2 linked regions of the Elephas maximus indicus genome follow. The protein of the gene in region 2 binds, or shares a complex with, the protein of the main gene of each other region. Links are inferred from orthologs where the notes say so. Each region holds a gene or a part of one and is shown on either strand. Other genes may lie near its edges. The genes, in order: ARPC5 and ARPC3.

Region 1 (9,918 bases), on a different chromosome or scaffold from region 2:
AGCATATCAATAAGCAGCTATTAAAAATGATTACATTATTAAAGATTATTTCCTTATTACTAAGGAAAGAACTTCATGTATATCGCTCTACAGTTGAAAAAGGTTGTAAAACTCCATTAAAAAAAAAAAAAAAACAAAACCAGAAAGAAATCTACAAGCATACAGCCACACCAAAAGGTAACAACTGCTATCTCTGGGTGGTGGGATTATGGGTCAGTACCTTTTTAATCCCCCCATATCTGTTTTCTATAATAAATATTTAGTACTAGTTTGATTTTTAATAAATCTTCTAAAAGCATGCAAACAGTGTGTTTATTTTTGTAAATGTTTTACTTATTCTTTGTTTAAATTCAACCTGCGGGGCCTCCTCTAAAAATGCCCACAGGAGTGGCCTCTCTGTCATTTGAACTTTTTGAACTTACTGTGTATACCATGTAGCACTGTCATAACTCAACGCAAATGTTATTTTTTATAAATTTTAACTTAGCAAACTAAACTATAAGCTCTTTCATGTCAAAGAGAGGGAATAATTAAAATATCTGTTGATTCTGTGAAACTTCAAATGCTTTTGGTATGAATAAAGATGTCAGCAAGGACCATCTTGCTGTCTGTGACTCACCTTCACCGCCTGACTCTTGGTGTTGATAGGGGGGTTTTTCAAAGCTGCTTGTAGGGCGGCTGTCATGTTTCCTGTGAGGGAAGTTAAGGGGATAACAGCAAAGAGCAGCCCTCAGGTAAGCTTTATAACTTTCAAGAACCATTGGTTTTTAGGACCTGAGTTTATGTACAAAGAGAAAAAATTGCTACAGTCACGATGTTCTTCAATATTGGAAATTCAATCCATTGATTTCAAGGATGTCAATCAAAGGTAAAATACTGAAAACAAAAGAGAACATTAGCCTTAAGACTATTTCACCTTTGGTTCTTAACTATCAAGGAGCCCTGGTGGCACAGTGGTTAAGCACTTGGCTGCTAACTGAAAGGTCACTGGTTCGAAAGCTCTAAGGCTCCAAGGAGAAAGACGCAGCAGTCTGCTTCCGTAAAGATTAAGCCATTGCCACTGAGTTGATTCAGACTCATACAGCCTTGGAAACCCTACGGGGCAGTTCTACTCCGCCCTATAGGGTCACTACGAGTTGAAATTTACTCAATGGCAATGGGTTTAGTTTTTTTTTTTTTCGGTTCTCAACTGTCAAATGAATGCCTTTCACTCTCCCATGAGACACATATGCACATTATCCAGAGTGGTACTAAAGAAAATCTAAAAGGTATATTAAAAAAGGTATATTAGAATTATTAAATTCCAAAGTGAAACAGCCTGTCATCAATCAAAATACATCTTTTTACGATTTTAACTGAGGGGGGAAAAAAAGACTGAACTTTTACTAGAACTATATTCTGTATTAATTAAAATGCTGGTCGAAAATGCTGGTAGGGTACCCTGGTAATCTGAATGATAAAAACCCACACCAATAATCTCTTAGTATTGATAAGAAGAGGCATTACAGACAGTGTAATAATTCATATGACCCTTAGGTGGCAGCTTAAATTCTCTGTTTTGGGTATTTTCTTTCATATTTCATAAAGGTTATTCAAACCGCCTTAGACTATATTTATTAAACTCAGTCCCTCTATGAAAGCACCAGTGAGTAAGCCAACACGAGAAACGCTAGGCCAATCATACTGTTAGAATGTACAGTCATTCCCCTATAAGGAAAACCACACAGAGTTCACTTGTTCCTCCATCTCTGGTGCTTGACTCCCTCTGTGCAGGCAGGGCTGTCTCCCTTGGTTGTCACAAGGGTAGGAGAAACAATATCTTTATGTTTTAAGATGAACTAATTCAAAAGCAGGCCCCGCTGATATTGATACAGCGGTACCGTTTAAGAGTCATTACAAATCACCTAAAATACGTTAATCTCACAAAATATCTATTCATCACAAAGAATGATTTAAAAAAAGAATAATAGTCACCACTTATCTTCTGCAGGGAAAGGTCTGACAAATACAGTTGGTGGTATAAACTTATTTTCAAGGCTGCATGAACTTCTAGAGAAGCATGCCTTTTGTAGGCTCATTAAGGTGCAAAAACCTTTACAAAATTTAAATAATGCAAAATAGTAACCGCTGATTGTGAAGGGGGCAGAAACCAATGGAACATCCATATGTTCCTGAATGTTAAGTGCGGCATTTTAGGTGCCTTTATACACCAAAACTAAAAAAAGTAACAACCAACCCCGTTGCCCTGGAGTCGATTCTGATTCATAGTGACTCTATAGGACAGAGTAGGCTGCCCCCCAGTTTCCAAGGAGCGCCCGGTGAATTCGAACTGCGGACCTTTTGGTTAGCAGCCGAACTCTGTGACCACTAGAACTCTGTGACCACTACGCCACCAGGGTTTCCAAGACTGGATACAGTTGTTACCAAATACTTTCATTCATACATTTTCTCCTTTAAAGTTTAATGGGACATCGTGAGGAAAGGGTATAAAAAGCTTTCTTTATCTTACCCATACGCTCAAGAAAAATTCGAAAAGCATTAAGTTCAGTCATTGAGAACCTCTAAAACTACACCTTCTGTTACTGCAACATCTACATTTTTCTAAAAAGATCTGATGCAAGTGTTAATTACAAGTTATGAATATTCAAACATGCAAAAATCAAAACCAGGAACTGACAGCTACGCTTTAAAATGGAAACAATTTCAGGATTACAAAAGCGATTCTGCTTTACACAAACGACTTATCTTCTATTTATTGGGGTTTATTTGAAGTACTTCTTGGGATTCTGCACATGCATTCCCCGTTTTCTTTGTATTGTCCTTTTAGCAAGTAAAGGGCTTCAAGCTTCCTTTCTGGGAGTTTTGAGGTTTTTGTACTCACTTCCCTCCTCCGATTAACAAATTCTGTGCAACCTGTATTTTGCCAGTTTTTTTCTCGTTTTAAAAAAACGGAAGAAAAGAAAAAAGTTCACAGGCTGAAAAGACACAGGGCTTCAATTCTGCCAACCACCCCAATCCTCCCGGAAATAATAAACTAGGCTAACGTTACCCGAAACAAATCAACAAACCAACAAACCACTACCACCCTTTCTCCCCACCCAAACCCCTACAGACACCGGCCATCAGCACTTTCTGGCTAACGTGACCCAGAAGCGCCATTCTGGGGAGGAACAGCTGACCTGCCGCGGCACTACCCAGCGCCAGATGCCGCCCCAGCGCCTCGAGGGCGCGGCCAGCAGAGCGGGCTCCCGGGGGCAGGCACTCTGCGCGCCACCTGAGGAACCGGGGCGTGGGAGGCGCCGCGCCAAGGGCAGGTCGCCGAGGGCGGGAGCCTGCAGTCCCGAGGCGGCTCGGTTAGAACCGGGAGAGCCTCTCTCTGAGTCTCAGAGTGGGGGACCCCAATGGGACAGGCTCACCGCGGGCCGCAGGCGGCAGCTCCGCGCCCGTCCCCGCGAGGAGACCGTGGTCCTCGGACTCTGCAGGGCGGCGGGGTCCGGGGAGAGGGGCCGGGGGCGGAGGAGCCAGCGCAAGGATATTGTCGCAGGCAGGAGTCCACCTCGCCCTCGTCGGGCCCGGCTTGGCCGTCGCCCCCGTCCTCCTCGTCCACGAACTTGTTCTCGTCGTACTCATCCACGTCCACCTTCCGGAACCGGGCCGACGACACCGTGTTCTTCGACATCCCCAAACCCCACCGGTGGCAAAGGCCTCCCCTCGGTGCTACCTTTACTACAGCAACCCCAGTCCAGCAGGAACCCGCAGGCTGGCGCCTCCACTTCCCTCTTCCGCTCAGGGGCGTCGCCGGCAGAAGCGGCTCAGCCGGTTCTGAGCCTGCGCGCCGGCCCCGCTCCTGCCTCCTCGGCCTCAGGCCCTACTCTAGCCTCCCACGCCGCCCCCGCGCTCCCGGGGAGCGCGCGCCGGAGAAGGAGCGGGCGCCGGGGAGGGAGCGGGCGAAGGAGGGAGCGGGCGCGCGGGAGGGAGCGCGCGCCAGGGAGGGAGCGGGCGCCAGGGAGGGAGCGCGCGCGGGAGGGAGCGGGCGAAGGAGGGAGCAGGCGCGCGGGAGGGAGCAGGCGCGCGGGAGGGAGCGCGCGCCAGGGAGGGAGCGGGTGCGCGGGCGCCAGGGAGGGAGCGCGCGCCAGGGAGGGAGCGGGCGCCAGGGAGGGAGCGGGCGCGCCGGAGGGAGCAAGCGCCAGGGAAGGGGCGCGCCAGGGAGGGAGCGCGCAGGACCCCACGCGCAGACGCGGACTCTCTGCAGGAAAGGGGTGGGGCCAGGAGAAGGGGCGGGGGCGGGATAAGAGGGAAGGCGGAAAGCCGTACCGCGGACAGAGGGGAGCGGCGATTGGTCGCCCGAGTGCATCACGTGGTGCCCAGGGGGTTCCCATAGAAACGCTTCTCTGCGGTCCAGCCTGGTGGCGGGGGGGTCCTAGGTTGGCGGCTATGGGCACCGGGGGCGGGTGGCTTTGGCTTTTGCTGCCGCTACCGCCGCCGCTGAGCAGTCATTGGAGTCCTGCGTAAGGTCCGGCTGGCCCCGACTTGCCAGTGCGGTGGGATGGACTGGTTGCCGGACCCAGCCCCCTGCAGCTGGCAGGAGTATGGGGCGGAGTGGTGCACTCCCGTGTGCCCAGCATCGTGCTAGTTGTCGAAGACATCGCTTCGGAACGCGCTCCACCCGGGGTGCATTCCCCAGCTGGGAGCCCTTTCCCCGAGGGTAGAACTACGCTGCAGGGCCAGTCAGAGGCTTCCAAGGACGGAGTCAAAAGGTCATATCTTATCTCTCAGTGCTGGTGACAGCATCGTGACGGGACCTGCAGAACCTAAACTCGGTATCATATCTATCGGGAGGGAGGGGAAGATGTCTGGGCAGGGCTGGAGTCAGGTGGCAAAACTGGGGTGAACGTGTAGAATTTGGGGTAGGATCATTCATCATTGATATCTTAAAATAAGTGGTTGGAGCAAGAATGCTAGAGAAAGGTGGGGCGAGGTAGGCTCTGGTGCTGAAGGAAAACCAAATGTTTATGGATTAGTAGAAACCAGTCTTTAAGATTTGTATTTATGAATTACATGACTCCACTAGACCAGCTTCTTAATTATATTTGACATCCTAGTATCTGAGAGCATAAGAGGTAAAGCCACTAAGGACATGGTAGTTGTGCTGTGTATTACACTGAAGTACAAATTAATGATAAGCCCAAATATTTGCAGAATACAATTAATTTGGACATTTCGTTGGACATTGCCCAGGTGGTTTCATATTTTCCTGCCATCCTATGAGTCCAGTTTAGTTCCACCTCTGGGAGAAGGCTGGCTGTTGCCCCTGTTGAGTACTCCAATCCTTGTTTTCCTGTGGTGTATTGAAAAGAGTCCTGGGCTTAGAATCAGAAGACCCTGGCTTGAGTCTTGGTTCTTTCACTCATCATCTGTTTGGTTGAGGCATGCCACTTAAAATTCTGAATCTCAGGTTCTTTATCGCAAAAATGGGGATAGTAATGATTACTTCACTAGATTGTTCTGAGGTTTAAATACACAAAAGTGTTTTGAAGCTCTAAAATTGTACATATATGTAAAATGCTTATTACCTGTACCATTGGCTTTGGCATTAGCCTTCTAGCTTACTTAATGATATATCATGTTTTATCTTGCTCTTCGGAGAGATTGCAAGATTCTGGATGACAGAGACCTGTCTTATATTTATTTTGCATCTTCCTTTACCTGCAGAAGGTACTGAATAAATGTTTGATGAATGGATGAAGTGTGAAAGGCAGTACAGGTTGAGGATCACACTGAGAATAATGAATAAGTAAGAAGAGAAAGATGTCAAATTAAACCTTATGTCATATATATATACAGAGAGAGAAAGGACAAGGGAGGACAGGAGAGAGAGAAAGAGGGAGAGACAGACAGACACTCCTCAAGAATGGAATGCATCCTTTTTCCTTGGGAGGAAAAAGCAATGTGGCTTTTTTCTTTTCCCAATAAAATGCCCATTCTAGAAGACAGAATTTAGATGATAAAAGCGACATTTCCTTAAATTGACATTCAAATTACAAACTCCCCTAGAATTCTCTTAAAACAGCAAAGGAAAATTTTCTAGCTGTTGGTAATATTTATTTTAAAATGTCATATTTCAAAGTATCAGGTTATTACTATGTTGAATGGCATTATATAACTTAGAATGTAGATGTATTTAAATATTTTTTCTCAGTTTCAGTCTTTTGCTAACTTTAGTATGAGCTAAACAATATTCTTCTTGAGATGCTAAAGACTGTACTTTTTGTTCTTTTAAATCAAGATTTTTCTTAAAGAGAAAATTGCGCATTAAAAGCACTGTTGAACAAATGGGAACAAAGATTCAAGACCTAACTCATTCCTTTTCTTACGTTTCTATTCTTTTGTATTCTTATCTAGGAAATTTCTTTTTGTCTTATTTTAGAACTGGGAAAGACTCCCTTGATAGAAATCAATTTAAGAGAATAGTGAGAAGACTTTAAAAAATTGGGGATGCTCATGGGTGTAATTGTTTTGATTGCTCAGAATGTGTTGAATGTCTTAAATGTAATTAATTCTCAGCCCCAAAATGTGTATTACATTTCAGATGTCAAAAGGTCTTTTTCCAATGCAGTATTTTTTATTGTCTCACAATGATCTAAGTGCCTAGTGTATCAGGCACTCAATAAATTTCTATCAAGTAAATTTATGATCTGACAAGTAACTTTAGGGATCGCATTTAGAGACTGAGTATTTTTGAATGGATACGTTAATATTGCTCCCTATGCTCCGCTAGCTAATAGTTAAATAGTTATACAGCTTTAGGGAAACTGTTTTGGGGGAAGAAACTCATTCTTAATTATCTTTTAATTAAAAAATTATTATCTCAGTTACTTAATGTTAACCATAATAGTTAATTCATTTTAGGTACTAGGATTCTGCCTATTTTAGTATTTTAAATGAGTACTTACCCTGACATAAACTATTCATAAGGTTTTAAGACTTTTTCTTTTTTGTGCTTTAGATGAAGGTTTACAGAACAAACTAGTTTCTCTTTAAACCGTTAGTACACATATTGTTTTGTGACATTACTTACCAACCCCATGACGTGTCAACACTCTCCCTTCTAGACTTTGGACTCCCTATTCCCAGCTCTCCTGTCCCCTCTTGCCTTCCAGTCCTTGCCCCTGGGCTGGTGTGCCGCTTTGGTCTTGTTTGTTTTATGGGCCTGTCTAATCTTTGGCTGAAGGGTGAACCTCAGAAGTGACTTCAGTACTGAGTTAAAAGGGTGTCCGGGAGCCCTGCTCTCAGGGTTTCTCCAGTCTTTGTCAGGCCAGTAAGTCTGATCTTTTTTTTGTGAGTTAGAATTTTGTTCTACATTTTTGTACAGCTCTATCCAGGATCCCCTATTGTGATCTCTGTCAGAGCAGTCAGCGGTGGTAGCCGGGCACCATCTAGTTATACTGGGCTCAGCCTGGTAGAGGCTGTGGTAGTTGTGGTCCATTAGTCCTTTGGACTAATCTTTCCCTGTGTCTTTAGTTTTCTTCATTCTCCCTTGCTCCCAATGGAGTGAGACTAGTGGTGTATCTTAGATGGTCGCTGACAAGCTTTTAAGACCTCAGACGCCACTCACTAAAGTAGAATGTAGAACATTTTCTTTATAAACTATGTTATGCCAGTTGAGCTAGATGTTCCCCAAGACTGTGGTCCGAACAGCCCTCGACCTAGTAATTCGGTCCCTCAGGGAGTTTTGATGTGTCTGTGGAGCTTACATGATCTTGCCTCATACAAGTTGTGCTGGCTTCCCCCAGCATTGTGTACTGAAGACATTTTATTGTGCAAAATAACCTGGTTGGCCCAATAGGAAAGCAAGATTGAATCTGAGTTTTCTCAAGGTTTATGCTACATGCTGGCATGTAGCTCCTTTTTGTGTGATGATGCAAAGAACAAGGATCCTTTTAATTAAAAGGGATTTTGATAAAATTATAATAGGTCTTTCTTTTCACATTTTAAAAACCAAGTACTCTCCTACTATGTGCGTTTTCCCCCAGAATTGCCACTAAGTACTTAAAAAAACAAACCAAGACATTGAACCCTGCAAGCATGGCACTATTATTTTATTATTGGAAATGAAAATATACTCCATTTTAATCAAATATGTCAAATGTATATTATACATATAAAATAAAGGTAAAACTCAGCTCTGGTAATGATGATTTAATATCATTATTCCCTATTGACATTTCTGTAATATAAAGATCCTTATCGTATTACCCATAAACTGTATAATGGTTTAATTTACTCCTACTTCATGCTCAAATCAACTGTTTCTGTGCTGAAACAACCAACCTTCAAAATTTCAAGTTTTTTCTTATTATTTTTAGCGTTACATAAGTTTATGATTACTCACTGAAATAGATAGGGTGAAATATTTTTCAGTAGGGCCTTTAATTAGATAATAATACTTCGCAAAGATTTAAAAAACTATAAATCGTACTCTTGTCTCAGGATAAATAGTGCTGAATGAAAGAGTGAACATTGTTTTTGAAACATTGTTGTAAATGAGCCTTTTTTTCCATTTAATTTTATATTCCCTGAGGATATAGGAAACTCTGGTGGCATAGTGGTTAAGAGCTAAGGCTGCTAACCAAAAGGTCAGCAATTTGAATCTGCCAGGCACTCCTTGGAAACTCTATCGGGCAGTTCTACTCTGTTCTATAGGTTTGCTATGAGTTGGAATCGACTTGATGGCAGTGGGTTTTTTGGTTTTGTTTATGAGGATATAAGGAGCCCTGGTGGCGTAATGGTTAAAAGCTCAGCTGCTAAGCAAAAGGTTGGCAGTTTGAATCCACTAGCAGCCTTTGGAAACTCCACAGGGCGGTTTTACTCTCTCCTATAGGGTCTTTTTATAGGGTCACTATGAGTTGAAATTGACTTGACGGCAATGGGTTTTGGTTTAGTTTATGATGATTTAAAGGGAACCTATTGATTTAAAAAATATTTATTTATCCTTTATTCTTTCCCATTACTGGGATCGCTTATTAATAATAGTTGCTTTAAGGTTATATCAAACTATTTGAAATAATGATAATTTACATTTTCCTTTCTAATATTTATATTCATTTATTTTTCTTATTACATTAAGTAGAATCTTGAAAACGGTATTGAGAAATTGGGTGAAAGTAGGCTTCCATGCTTTGTTCCTGTTTCAATGGAAATATCTTTGGTATTTCACTAGTTGATATTATATTTATTATTGCTTTGTGATCTTTAGGAATGACTGCTTAATTTATCAAATGCCTTTGTGAGTATCTAATGGTAAAAGTCATATCATTTTAAACTTTAAATTTATTAATGTAATGAATTATATAGTTTTCTACATTGAAACATTCCCACATTCCTAGCATACACTCTATTTGGTTTTTGAATGTTATTCTTTTAATTCCTTCCTGGATTTGATTAGCTTATATTTCATTTATATGGTTCGGAATCTATGTTTTTAAGTAAGATTGGTTCATAGTTTCATTTTTTTATCTGGTTTTGATATTGGGGTTAGTCTAGCTTTGTCAAATGAATTGGGAAGATTTACATGTTTTTCTTATGGTCTGGAATAGTTTCAAGTAATAGAAAGTTCCCATGCTACTTGTTCGTTGAACGTTACAGAATGTACCTGCAAAACTATCTGAGCTTGCTGATCTTTTTAGAGGTAGGTCTTTGGTCATCTTTATTTTCTATGGTTATTGATTTGTTCATTGGCTGAAAGTGATTTATATTTTCCTTATTTGGAGTTTCCACATGTGTGTTGGTGGTGATACTCTTTAATGTCACCATTGCCAGTTTGCTGAAGTGGGGTGGAACATTCCAACTTCTCCCCTCCCTGAATCTCTGGGCCAGCTTAACATGACCAGGAATCCGTTGGGTAGCAAGCAGGAGACT
Region 2 (10,024 bases):
GTAATTAGATTTATTCTACCCTCGGTCAAGCACATCTTCGCATGTATCAGATGGTATCTGTATACTTCTTTTCAAGGAATCTGAGCCAACGCTGATTCTTAATTTTTCTCTGCACTCCAATGCGTTCATATTTTTCTCCCTTTCAGGTCGTTTTCCATCTGTTCCTTTTCCTTCATCCGGAATCAAGTAAAGACTGTGGTGACTCACCAAATTTATTAAGTTTACTGAGCAATAAACTGGTGTTGAAGAAGAATTAAATTAAGACAAGGTCATGTCAAATAGTTTGGCAGTGGAATGGAGATGGGGTCAGTAGAAAACAGGTATTATAACCGCGGTCTTGGAAACCATGAATGGAACTCAGTTCAGACCCTCCAGGGCTCTGCCCTGGGTGTAGAGAAATCCTATCTAATAAAATACAAATTATGCTATTGGCAGGACATTTCAGAATACGTCAGAAGAGTCTCAGATAGTATATGAAAAAGAATAGGGCTTTCTGAACAATAAAATCGGTTTCAAAAAGCAGAGTACCAAAAAAAGGGGGGGGAGGGGCAGAGTACCAAGAAAGAAAACAAAGACGTAATATCAAATAAAGCAAGAGTACAGATGAGTAATGTTATAAAAGGTATAAAGAGGAATGGATAAAGGGAGTAAATGTAGATAGGGAAGTCATTTTTTTTTTTTAAAGCTTGATGACGAAGAAAGGATGGGGACCTGTCATTCTACAGAGGCAGCGGCATTAGCCGGAGAGAACTGACAGTGAAGGCAGGAACAGTGGCCAGGATCAAGCACATTTCCTCTTCCCTCTCCACAAATATCCTGGAGAAATCAGCAGCAATTATACAGTTTCCTGCTAGATGCAACACATTTAACAGTGATCATGAAAGGCCTAGAACACAGCATCGCCAAGGGATAGGAAGTATAGGAGCAACGTGAGACATAGGACTGAGACGAGAACTGCCTTGATCTGATAATGTCAGAGGGTTGCCAGGCATTCTACGCCCAAATCTGAAAGGGATGGAAAAGCATTTAGACTTACTCTCTCGAGGGGCTGGTCCTTTGAACTGACTTCTGATAGGTAGCAGCGCCATGTTTCCAATGAGTTTGGTGTCAGGGTCCATGAGAGAAGAGTGGTAGGCCTGTAATGGCAAGCCAGGTAAGAATATGGAAGCAGAAAGAGTGCAAATGTCATGAGACCAGACGAAAAAAAAAGGCGACCCCATCCAAGATTAACTAGGGGAGAAAAAGAAGGCAGCAGGGGTATGCTGGAGCTGGCTCTTACCAGCTCATGAGCCAATTTTGAGGAATACTGCAAGCTGGTTGTTAAACACAGCCATTATTAAAAATTAAATTATATAAACTTACAATTAAATAAATTGTATTTAAAACAAAGGTTTTTGTAGGTTTTTAAAAAAGCTCTAAACTGATCACTTCTTAATTATTACATTTTATTATTGCTGATGCCCTCAGTTACATCTTTTGTATCTTTGTGGTATAAATACTATATACTGGGGTGCAACTGTGCATCTTCTCCCAATTCCATGTTCAGTGACATCACACTGGTGGCTGGTAAGAGTATCTACACCACAGAAATTGGCAAACACTATATGAATTAGGGGTAGTCTCCCATCGCTGCTTGTTCAATATTTGCCAGGATCCAAGTACTAGCTTTTCAGCTCTGCCACTTCCAGGCTTTATGTCATTCACCAAGATGTCACATTTCTTCTCTTAGTCTGTTTCCCAATTTGTAAAACGAGAAGAGGTATACTACGTTCAGTGGGTAACCAAACCAAACCCAGTGCCGTTGAGTTGATTCTGACTCATAGTGACCCTATAGGACAGAGTAGAACTGCCCCATAGAGTTTCCAAGGAGCGCCTGGCAGATTCGAACTGCCAACCCTTTGGTTAGCAGCCGTAGCACTTAACCACTATGCCACCAGGGTTTCCCTTCAGTGGGTAGGGGTGAGTTAAAAGAAGAAAAAGAGAGCCACATTTTTGAGAGCAGTCAGCATGCTGATTCTTTGCTTTGCTTCTAACAAGTAAGACAACATGGGCCCCATTCATGCATTCCATGAACAATTACTAAGCACCTTCTATATGCAGGAAACCCTGGTGGTGTAGTAGTGTGGCGCTACGGCTGCTGACTGAATGGTCGGCAGTTTGAATCCACCAGGCGCTCCTTGGAAACTCTATGGGGGCAGTTCTACTCTGTCCCATTGGGTTGCTATGAGTTGGCATCGACTTGTCGGCAATGGGTTTAGTTTTTTTTGGTTCTACGTGCAAGGCACGGTGATAAAAAAAAAAAAAAAAAAAAACCAAACCCACTGCTGTTGAATCGATTCCGACTCACAGCAACCCTATAGTGATACAGTGGCATACAAAACCAGTCTGGTCCCCACCCTGAGAGAGCTTTCAGGCTAATGGAGAAAACAGACGTTAAATAAGTAATCACAGGCGACGCCCACGGTACTCTGGGAGCTAATAAAGGGGGGCACGCCCCGCACGCATCGGGGATCAATAAATGGTAGCCAGACGATTCCCGGAGTTCCAGCGTGGTGCAAACGGTTAACACACTCGCTGCTAACACAAGGGCTGGAGGTTGGAGTTCACGTAAAGGCCCCTAGGAAGAAAGGCCTGGTGAACTAGTCCTGAAAAGTCAGTCATTGAAAACGCTATGAAACACAGGTCTACTCTGACACACCTGGGGTCGCCATGAGTCAGAACAGAATCGACTGGTAACCGGTTTTTGTGAGTTTTCTAAACAGGATTCATAACATATATAGCTATAATTATGGCCTGCTCCTTCTCATAATACAGAGACTTTGTCTGCCCTCCCCTTCACCAGTTACCGTCTTGTTGCCTATTTCCTTCACAGCACTTGTCACTATCTAAAATGATCTCCTTTATCTGTTTACACGTTCACCGTCTCCTCAGTAGAATAGGAGTTTGTTGGACTTACTACTGTAAGAGCGCTCAGCATGCAGTAAGTACTCAATAATGTTTGCTGTATGAATAAACACGTTACTGAGCCTCTTCTTTCCTATCTGCAAAGTGACGATCATGACGGCGATAAATTTAACCCCGTAGCCTGGCTGTCAGAAATGAAGGACAACCAGACCTTCATCAATTTTTACTCCCATTTCGAAGCTCAGGAAAACGGAAGCATTTGTAAATCAGGCGCCGGCCTTGAGCGGGTTCTGGGGGGTGGACGCCACTGCCGAGGCGACAAGGGAGGAGTCCGGGAAGTGGGGTCTGAAAGATGACAGGCAGCGAGAGGGACCGCCCCCAGGCCGAGGAGGAAGTGGGCCTGACAAGGAAAAAGGAGAAGCCGGTCCCTGGACTTGAAAAAACGAAAAGTAAAAAGCCCAGCCCTTGGCTACGGCTCCAGCGAGCCTTTAGGGACTCTGCCGGGCTTGGGGGCAGAGCCGAAGGGGCGAGAAGGGGGTCAGGATTGGAGCGAAGGGGCGGGAAGTGCTGGGGCGGCCTCCCCGCACGCCCGGGACTCTGGCCCACTCCTCCTGGCTCCCGCATCCCACACCCCGGCCGCCCCGAAGCCGGCACCGAGGCCTCCACTCCTCGCCTCCGCTCTCCCCCAGGCCCCCGCTTCCTCTCCGCCCTCCTCGGCCCGCTCCTCTCTGCGCGCACAAGACCGCTCACCGCTCCCCCCAACCCCCGCCGTCTCCCCACACCCCTGGCCCGGCCCCTCACCGGCATCTTCGCGGCGCCCGAGTTTGGACCCAACTGTGCACTATCTGCTGGAGCGCCGCGCTTCCGGCCTGGCTGCCCGGGCGGGGTAGGCGGAAGTGAGCCGGAAGGGGAGGGCGAGGCGCTTCCGGCGTTCTGTCCCGCAGATGGCTGTTGCGGCTGCGGGGAGCCGAAGGGACGCCAGGGGGCGCCCGAGCACTAGACAGGGACTCCGTTGTGCGTGCATAAGGCGCGCACGAAAGGTAGTTGGGTCTTAAGGTTACAGGATCTCGGTGATCAATGACCTGCTGTTTTTGCTCAAATACCATCTTTTCAGTGAAACCTCCCCCGGCCGCCCTATTTTAAATTCAATCCCAGTCCAACCCCGCCTTACCTGTCCTTCTTTCCCACCTTTTCTCATAAAAAAAAATACTCCTCGTATATTCTATTATTTAGTTTACATTCGATGTTTGTGCCACCCCACCACGGAAGCGTCAGGAAGGAGGTTTGCCCCTTCGGTTCCCTGCTTATTCCCCAGGCCCATAATACTGATGGTATATAGTAAACATCTATAAATATGTGCTGAATGAATGAGCCGAACTCTTAAAAATGAGGAAACTGGAGAACAAGTGAAGGGAATCACGCATTTATTCTTTCAAGCTTGAGTGTGCACCGAGTCTGAATTCCAGCTCTAACATGTACTAGCTGCATAACTGTGGGCACGCTGCCTCTTTTTATGGAGCTCCGGTGGTGCACTGCTTAAGAGCTTGGCTCCTAACCAAAAGGTTGACAGTTCTAATCCACCAGCTGCTCCTTGGAAACCCTACACGGCACCTCAACTCTGTCCTATAGGAGTCACTGAGTCAGAATCAATGTGACCGCAACACCTTTGGTTTGGTTTAACCTCTTTGTGCCTCAATTTCCTCAACTGAAAATGGAAATAACAGTACCTACCGTGCTTTCTGACAATTAAATGAATTACATGCAAAATACTTTGAACTTGCATGGCTGGAACATATGAATAGTGCAGTAGTTTTTAGTCCTTTCCTAGAAAGGACCTCACGTAAGCCAAGTTCCTTCCTGCCTTGGAGCCTTTTCTTCTGGCAGCCTTTCAAACTGGAACACTCTACTTGCCACATGTTCCTACAGCTGACTTCTCATCTAGGTCTCTGGCCAAACTGCGCCTTATTAGACTTCTAGTGCTGCTGTAACAAAGTATCACAAAGTGAGTGGCTCAGAATCAACAATTTATTCCCTCACAGTTCTGGAGGTTATAAATTGGAATTCAGGGTGTCAGCAGCACCACACTCTGTTCGAAGGTTCCAGGGGAAGATCCTTTGTCTCTCCCAGTTTCTGGTAGCCCCTAGCATTCTGCTTACAACTGTAGCACAAGTCCGATTTCTGCATCCATGACCACATGGCATTCTGCCCTGTGTCTGTCTCTTCTCTTTTGTAAGGACATCACTCATATTGGATTAGGGCCCACCCTACTCCAGGATGCCCTCATATTAATTCATAACGTCTTCAAAGACCCTATTTCCAAGTGACAAAGGTACCAGGGCTTAGAACTTCAAGCTAGCTAGCTCTTTGGGGGACACAATTCAATCCCTAACAGCAGCTTTTCGAAGGGGTCTACATAATTCAGTGTAGCAAGAATTAAAAAGAAAAAAGTTACATCTTTCAAAATTTTAGTATTTGTTATTATTCAAGGCAAGTACAAAATTTTAAATGCTCAGGCTACAAACTTTGTTTAAAAAAAGAAAAATCACTGCCTGCATTTTGACAAAAGGGTGAAACCTACTCATTCAAAAATGTGCCCTGACTGCTCCAAATTCTGACTGGAAAACAAGAGTGTAATGAAGGGCTAGTGCTACCTTTTTGTTTCTTTTGTGTGTGTGGGTGCATACATTTTTAAATAGTTATTTAAATTTTTTAACTACAGGTAGTCCTTGACTCAAGGCGAGTCCATCGGAAGTCAATTCTGATGTAACTCCAATACCTCTTTTTTTTTTTTTTAAGTTTTCATTATTATTGTCTTTTATTGTCAGTATCTTTATAAATCTGACCTTTGAACATCTGCGAGTGAACTTCTGAGGATGAGAGCACCAGCCAATTATACACTGCAACAGTGTATGCAGTACATGGTACCAGTGATAAAAATGTGATAGGACACACAAAAAAACCAGACTGTCACAAGTATAGTTTGTCCTAACTCCAGCATGTTTTAAGAATCGGGGACTACCTATGTACAAATAAAACATTCTCAATGCAGAAAAACTGAAGATACAGAGAAGCAAAGCCTTATCTATATCCTTCTAGATTTCTTCATTTGGACATAGATTTCTTCATTTGGACATATATACATGTGTATATTTTGTTACAGTAATTCTCGCTGCCCCCAAAACCCTCAAAAATGAAACCAAACAGTAAAAATGTTAGTCTGGTCTTAAATGTAGTCCAGGTGCTAATTTATGTTATATACAAATCTATGTACACTCTTTTCAACTTTTAAAACCTAAACTGATGGAATTAAAACACCACCAAATGATTCCACTTTAAACAGCAGCAGAATAACTCAGAACATGATTCAGGCATCTGCGGACAAAGAGCCAATTACAGTCACGTGTTGCTTAACAACCATGATACATTCTGTGAAATAGGCTGTTATGCGACTTGGATGCTGTGTGAACACCGCATTACACACAGACAGGCCCTGGATTATGGGCCCCAGCCCGCCCACTGTTCCATCGCCTGAGCAGTAGCAGCCCAGGCCCAGCAGCCTCTGCCGCCACCTACCCACGAGACTTGCCTGAAAACTGTATTCACTGGATACAGGAGGCCGGCCCTGCCAGGTATGTGGCTGTGGGCTGGCCTGGGGCTGTACCAGCAGCCAGATTGGGACTTTGAGCACGTTCAGGTGCGGGGTGGGGACAGGGTGTGTAGATGCCACGGAGCATGACTGGTGGTGGCGGCTCTGGCTGCCACTGCTGTTTTGGTGAGGCCGCTTCCTGATCACGTGCAGCCACCTGGAGCCAGGAGCCTGCAAGCACTCCAGACCCCGCCAGCCACCCGCCAGCACCGCGGCAGGAGCTGTGGCAGGCACTGCCCTGTACCTGGAGTGAATGGACGCACAGCTGCTGGACGGGTAAACGAAGCCAGGAGGAGAGGAAGGAGAGGAGGAGACGGAAGACGAGGTGCTGCAGGGGTTGGGATGCGCCCTGGAACCCCACTGCTCATTCACTCTGGGGGTTTGGGGTCTTTAAAGCCATTACAACAAATAAAGTAACAAACAAAAGGAGAGCAGCTTCCCCTTTCAAAAAAAACCCCAACAACAATCTTACATGACCATGGACATATATGCAGTTGGATGTTGCCCGAATGGATGTTACGTGGTACATGACGGTAGTATTTTTTTCCATTAGAGTACGTAGCTTTCTACTACTGCATCCTCTAAAGAGAAGAATGTCTTGTGGGTTCAGCCAGAAGCTCTTCACGTGTACACAGTTAATTTTCAGTAAAATCTTCACTCATTCTGGCGTTCTCGAAAATATTCATCGAACATAGAAGATGACTCCTCTTCATGTTCCTGACCCAAGGGAAACAAAACAGAACACGCATTTCATTTCCTCTCAGGTAGACCTGGTATGTATCTACATATTTTCCCACTGATACTCTCTAATGAGCTAACACCCAACAGCAGCTCTGGGTGTTGCTTACAGGTAACGGCCAAGAGTAACAAAAGGCATGATTGGTAGGATTTTTCCAGGTATGTGGTAAATTAAAGCGCTTATCTGTCATTAGAAGCAGTTCTCCCTTGAGTTTACAGTCACTCACACTGATTCTCAGGTAACAGCCTGACTACCATCAGTCTTTCCACTGATGTATGAGAGGGCAGCCCAAGCTCAACAGCATAGCTTCTTGTCTTTGCAAAACCCCCCAAGCTCCGATTACAAGGAGACTTAGCTGAATCGTGTTGTCTCAACAAAAGGGGGAATAAAGCTGATCTGACTGCTGAGCACAGGTGTGAATTTCAGAGCTCACCTAGGAAAGCCCGGGGCACCGCCACCTCTCAGACAAAAATTAATCTGAGTTGCCTGAGTTTTGCAGGAGGCCAGTGAGTGTCAGGAACCATTGCCACCAAAAGCCATCCAACAGCCCAAGCTTGGAAATTACCTTTGGTTCTTTAAATTCCAAGTCTTCTCCATACTGAATGGCAAAATCAATATGCTGTAATACAACGTTCATGCTTTCTTCATCTGACTGGTCGTAAGGTAAGAACCGCACCATGCTGTAGTCATCGATCTGCAAGTTGGGGAGTTCAGAAAGATCCACTCTGAAGCTGTGCAAGATACATCATTTTCAACCTACATTTGAGCTCTATAACCTTTTGTATTTCCAATTACAAATGTGGGAGGGGGAGGGGAGAGGCAAAGGAGACAGCTGGAAAGGGAACATCAGCAAATCATTATTGATTTTTCTGACCTCTGACCTACTAGAACACTGTTAGCTTATTACTTAACTGGACACTTGCTGCTTCATGGGTATTTATCTGATTTCCCCAACTAAGGGAAATTTCAAAAGGGCATGAACAATTCTAAGATCCCCATATGGCCTGGAATACTAGACATATCAGTTAATTTATTGGCCATTGCCAATAACTACTTCTGGATTAAGCCACTGCCCAGGCAGCCTGCAGTGCCCCACCAATCTCAGTGGGTTGCCTGTGCTTTTCCTAAGAGCGGCCATGGGCTGGATGAGGGTAAACATTTGACCTGGGGTTACAATCCACAGATTTGTCAGCAAATTTGACGCCTACGGCTTTGACCAAAGAAAGCCTGTTTGAGCCCATCAGAGGTGTACTCTCCCTAGAGTTTGACCTGAGAGAGAAAGAGAAAGCAGCCAAATGGTATTGGACACTAGCGACATGAAGTTATGCAACAGCTGCAGTTGTCTCCACAATGACTCAGAAGTTGTTTGAGGACATGACCGAACAGGTGTCTTGAGCAGGGACATACAGACGTATGCTGAGAAATTGAGAAGGCGGCCTACGTTTCTGACCTGATGTTCCCACCTTGATTTCCCAGAAGGCTCGACTGTGCTCTCTGCCCTTCTGTTCTGTGAAAATCTCTGTATCATGATATTGCCACATTCCCCACTTTATCCTCACCCCCCGCTCTACCAAGAAACCAGGAAAATGTCAACATTCAGCACCGGTCACACTAGACACGAAACCTACGTGTTAATAGTATGCTGTGTAACTCCTTTAGAGATCAGACATAAATATTTAAGATTGTTGCAGAGGCTCACGTAGGCGGCACATGGCAGCTCCAGTTACTGTTACTGTGGAAATTCTGGTCAATGTGCTTTTCTCTCAACCAGTCCGGAGTCCAGAGTCCTGGCTCTGTGTCAGTCAGGAGCCCTTCCCCGAGCCTGTCTGTGGTCATAGGCATTCGATGCTCCGACTAGCTGGCCTTAGCCCGTGCCTGTCCCTGGAATGCGGAAGCCAGCACCACTTAAACCTCAAGACTAAGAATTGTGGGAGGGGGTGTTTCCCCAGGGGGAAACACAGGACTGTTCCAAGTAGCAGGACGAAGGGGCTGCCAGGTAGCTGTGTTCGCTACTGTTGCCCCACCAAACAAAAAAAAACGAACCCGTTGTTGTCAATTCCGACTCAGAGCAACCGTAAAGGACAGAGCAGAACTGTCCCACAGGATTTTCAAGGGTATAAATTTTACAGAAGCAGACTGCTACATCTTTCTCCCACGGAGTGGCTGGTGGGTCCCAACCACTGACCTTTCAGTTAGCAGCTGAGTGCTTAACCACTGCTCCACCAAGGCTCCTTGTTGCCCCGTCAGACATTATCAAAACCTTATTAGGGAAAGACCGACTCTGACCATGTAGTCCATTTTCTAAAATAAAAAACCAAACCAGCTGCCATCAAGTTGATTCTGACTCACAGCAACCCCACGTGGGTCAGAGTAGAACTGTGCTCCATAGGGTTTCCAATGGCTGATTTTCTGGAAGCAGATCACCGGGCCTTTCTTCTGAGGCACCTCTGGGTAGACTCAAGCCTCCAACCTTCCAGTTATCAGCCCAATGCATTAACCCTTTACACCACCCAGAGACTCTATAAGCATCTGAGGACAGTTAAAAATCCTGGTGTTCATTTTCTCAACTATTACAAAATCATAAACTGAGCTAAGCATTAAAGCTAAATGCTGACTCTAAAACAGTTAACAAATTCTGGAGAAAGTTCTGTGTGCTGTTGGTTACGGCAACTACAGTATGACCCCTCTTTCCCTGCAGCTCAGGACATCCTTCATACCGAGAGTTGCTTTGGTGG

Evidence for each region.
Region 1: ARPC3 (region 2) and ARPC5 share a complex: the UniProt entries of both Homo sapiens proteins name them as parts of the arp2/3 complex. The link is inferred for Elephas maximus indicus from reciprocal best matches to the Homo sapiens genes ARPC3 and ARPC5.

The regions. Positions count from the first base shown.
Region 1 is NC_064842.1:47,116,553-47,126,470, forward strand, and holds the start of ARPC5 (actin-related protein 2/3 complex subunit 5), read right to left. Parts: upstream 3,924-9,918; 5' UTR 3,680-3,923; coding exon 3,536-3,679; intron 692-3,535; coding exon 620-691; intron 1-619. UniProt on the Homo sapiens protein: Component of the Arp2/3 complex, a multiprotein complex that mediates actin polymerization upon stimulation by nucleation-promoting factor (NPF).
Region 2 is NC_064840.1:9,035,130-9,045,153, forward strand, and holds the start of ARPC3 (actin-related protein 2/3 complex subunit 3), read right to left. Parts: upstream 3,855-10,024; 5' UTR 3,712-3,854; coding exon 3,706-3,711; intron 1,137-3,705; coding exon 1,037-1,136; intron 1-1,036. Other genes in the region: GPN3 (GPN-loop GTPase 3), read right to left, coding at 7,205-7,267, 7,855-7,983. UniProt on the Homo sapiens protein: Component of the Arp2/3 complex, a multiprotein complex that mediates actin polymerization upon stimulation by nucleation-promoting factor (NPF).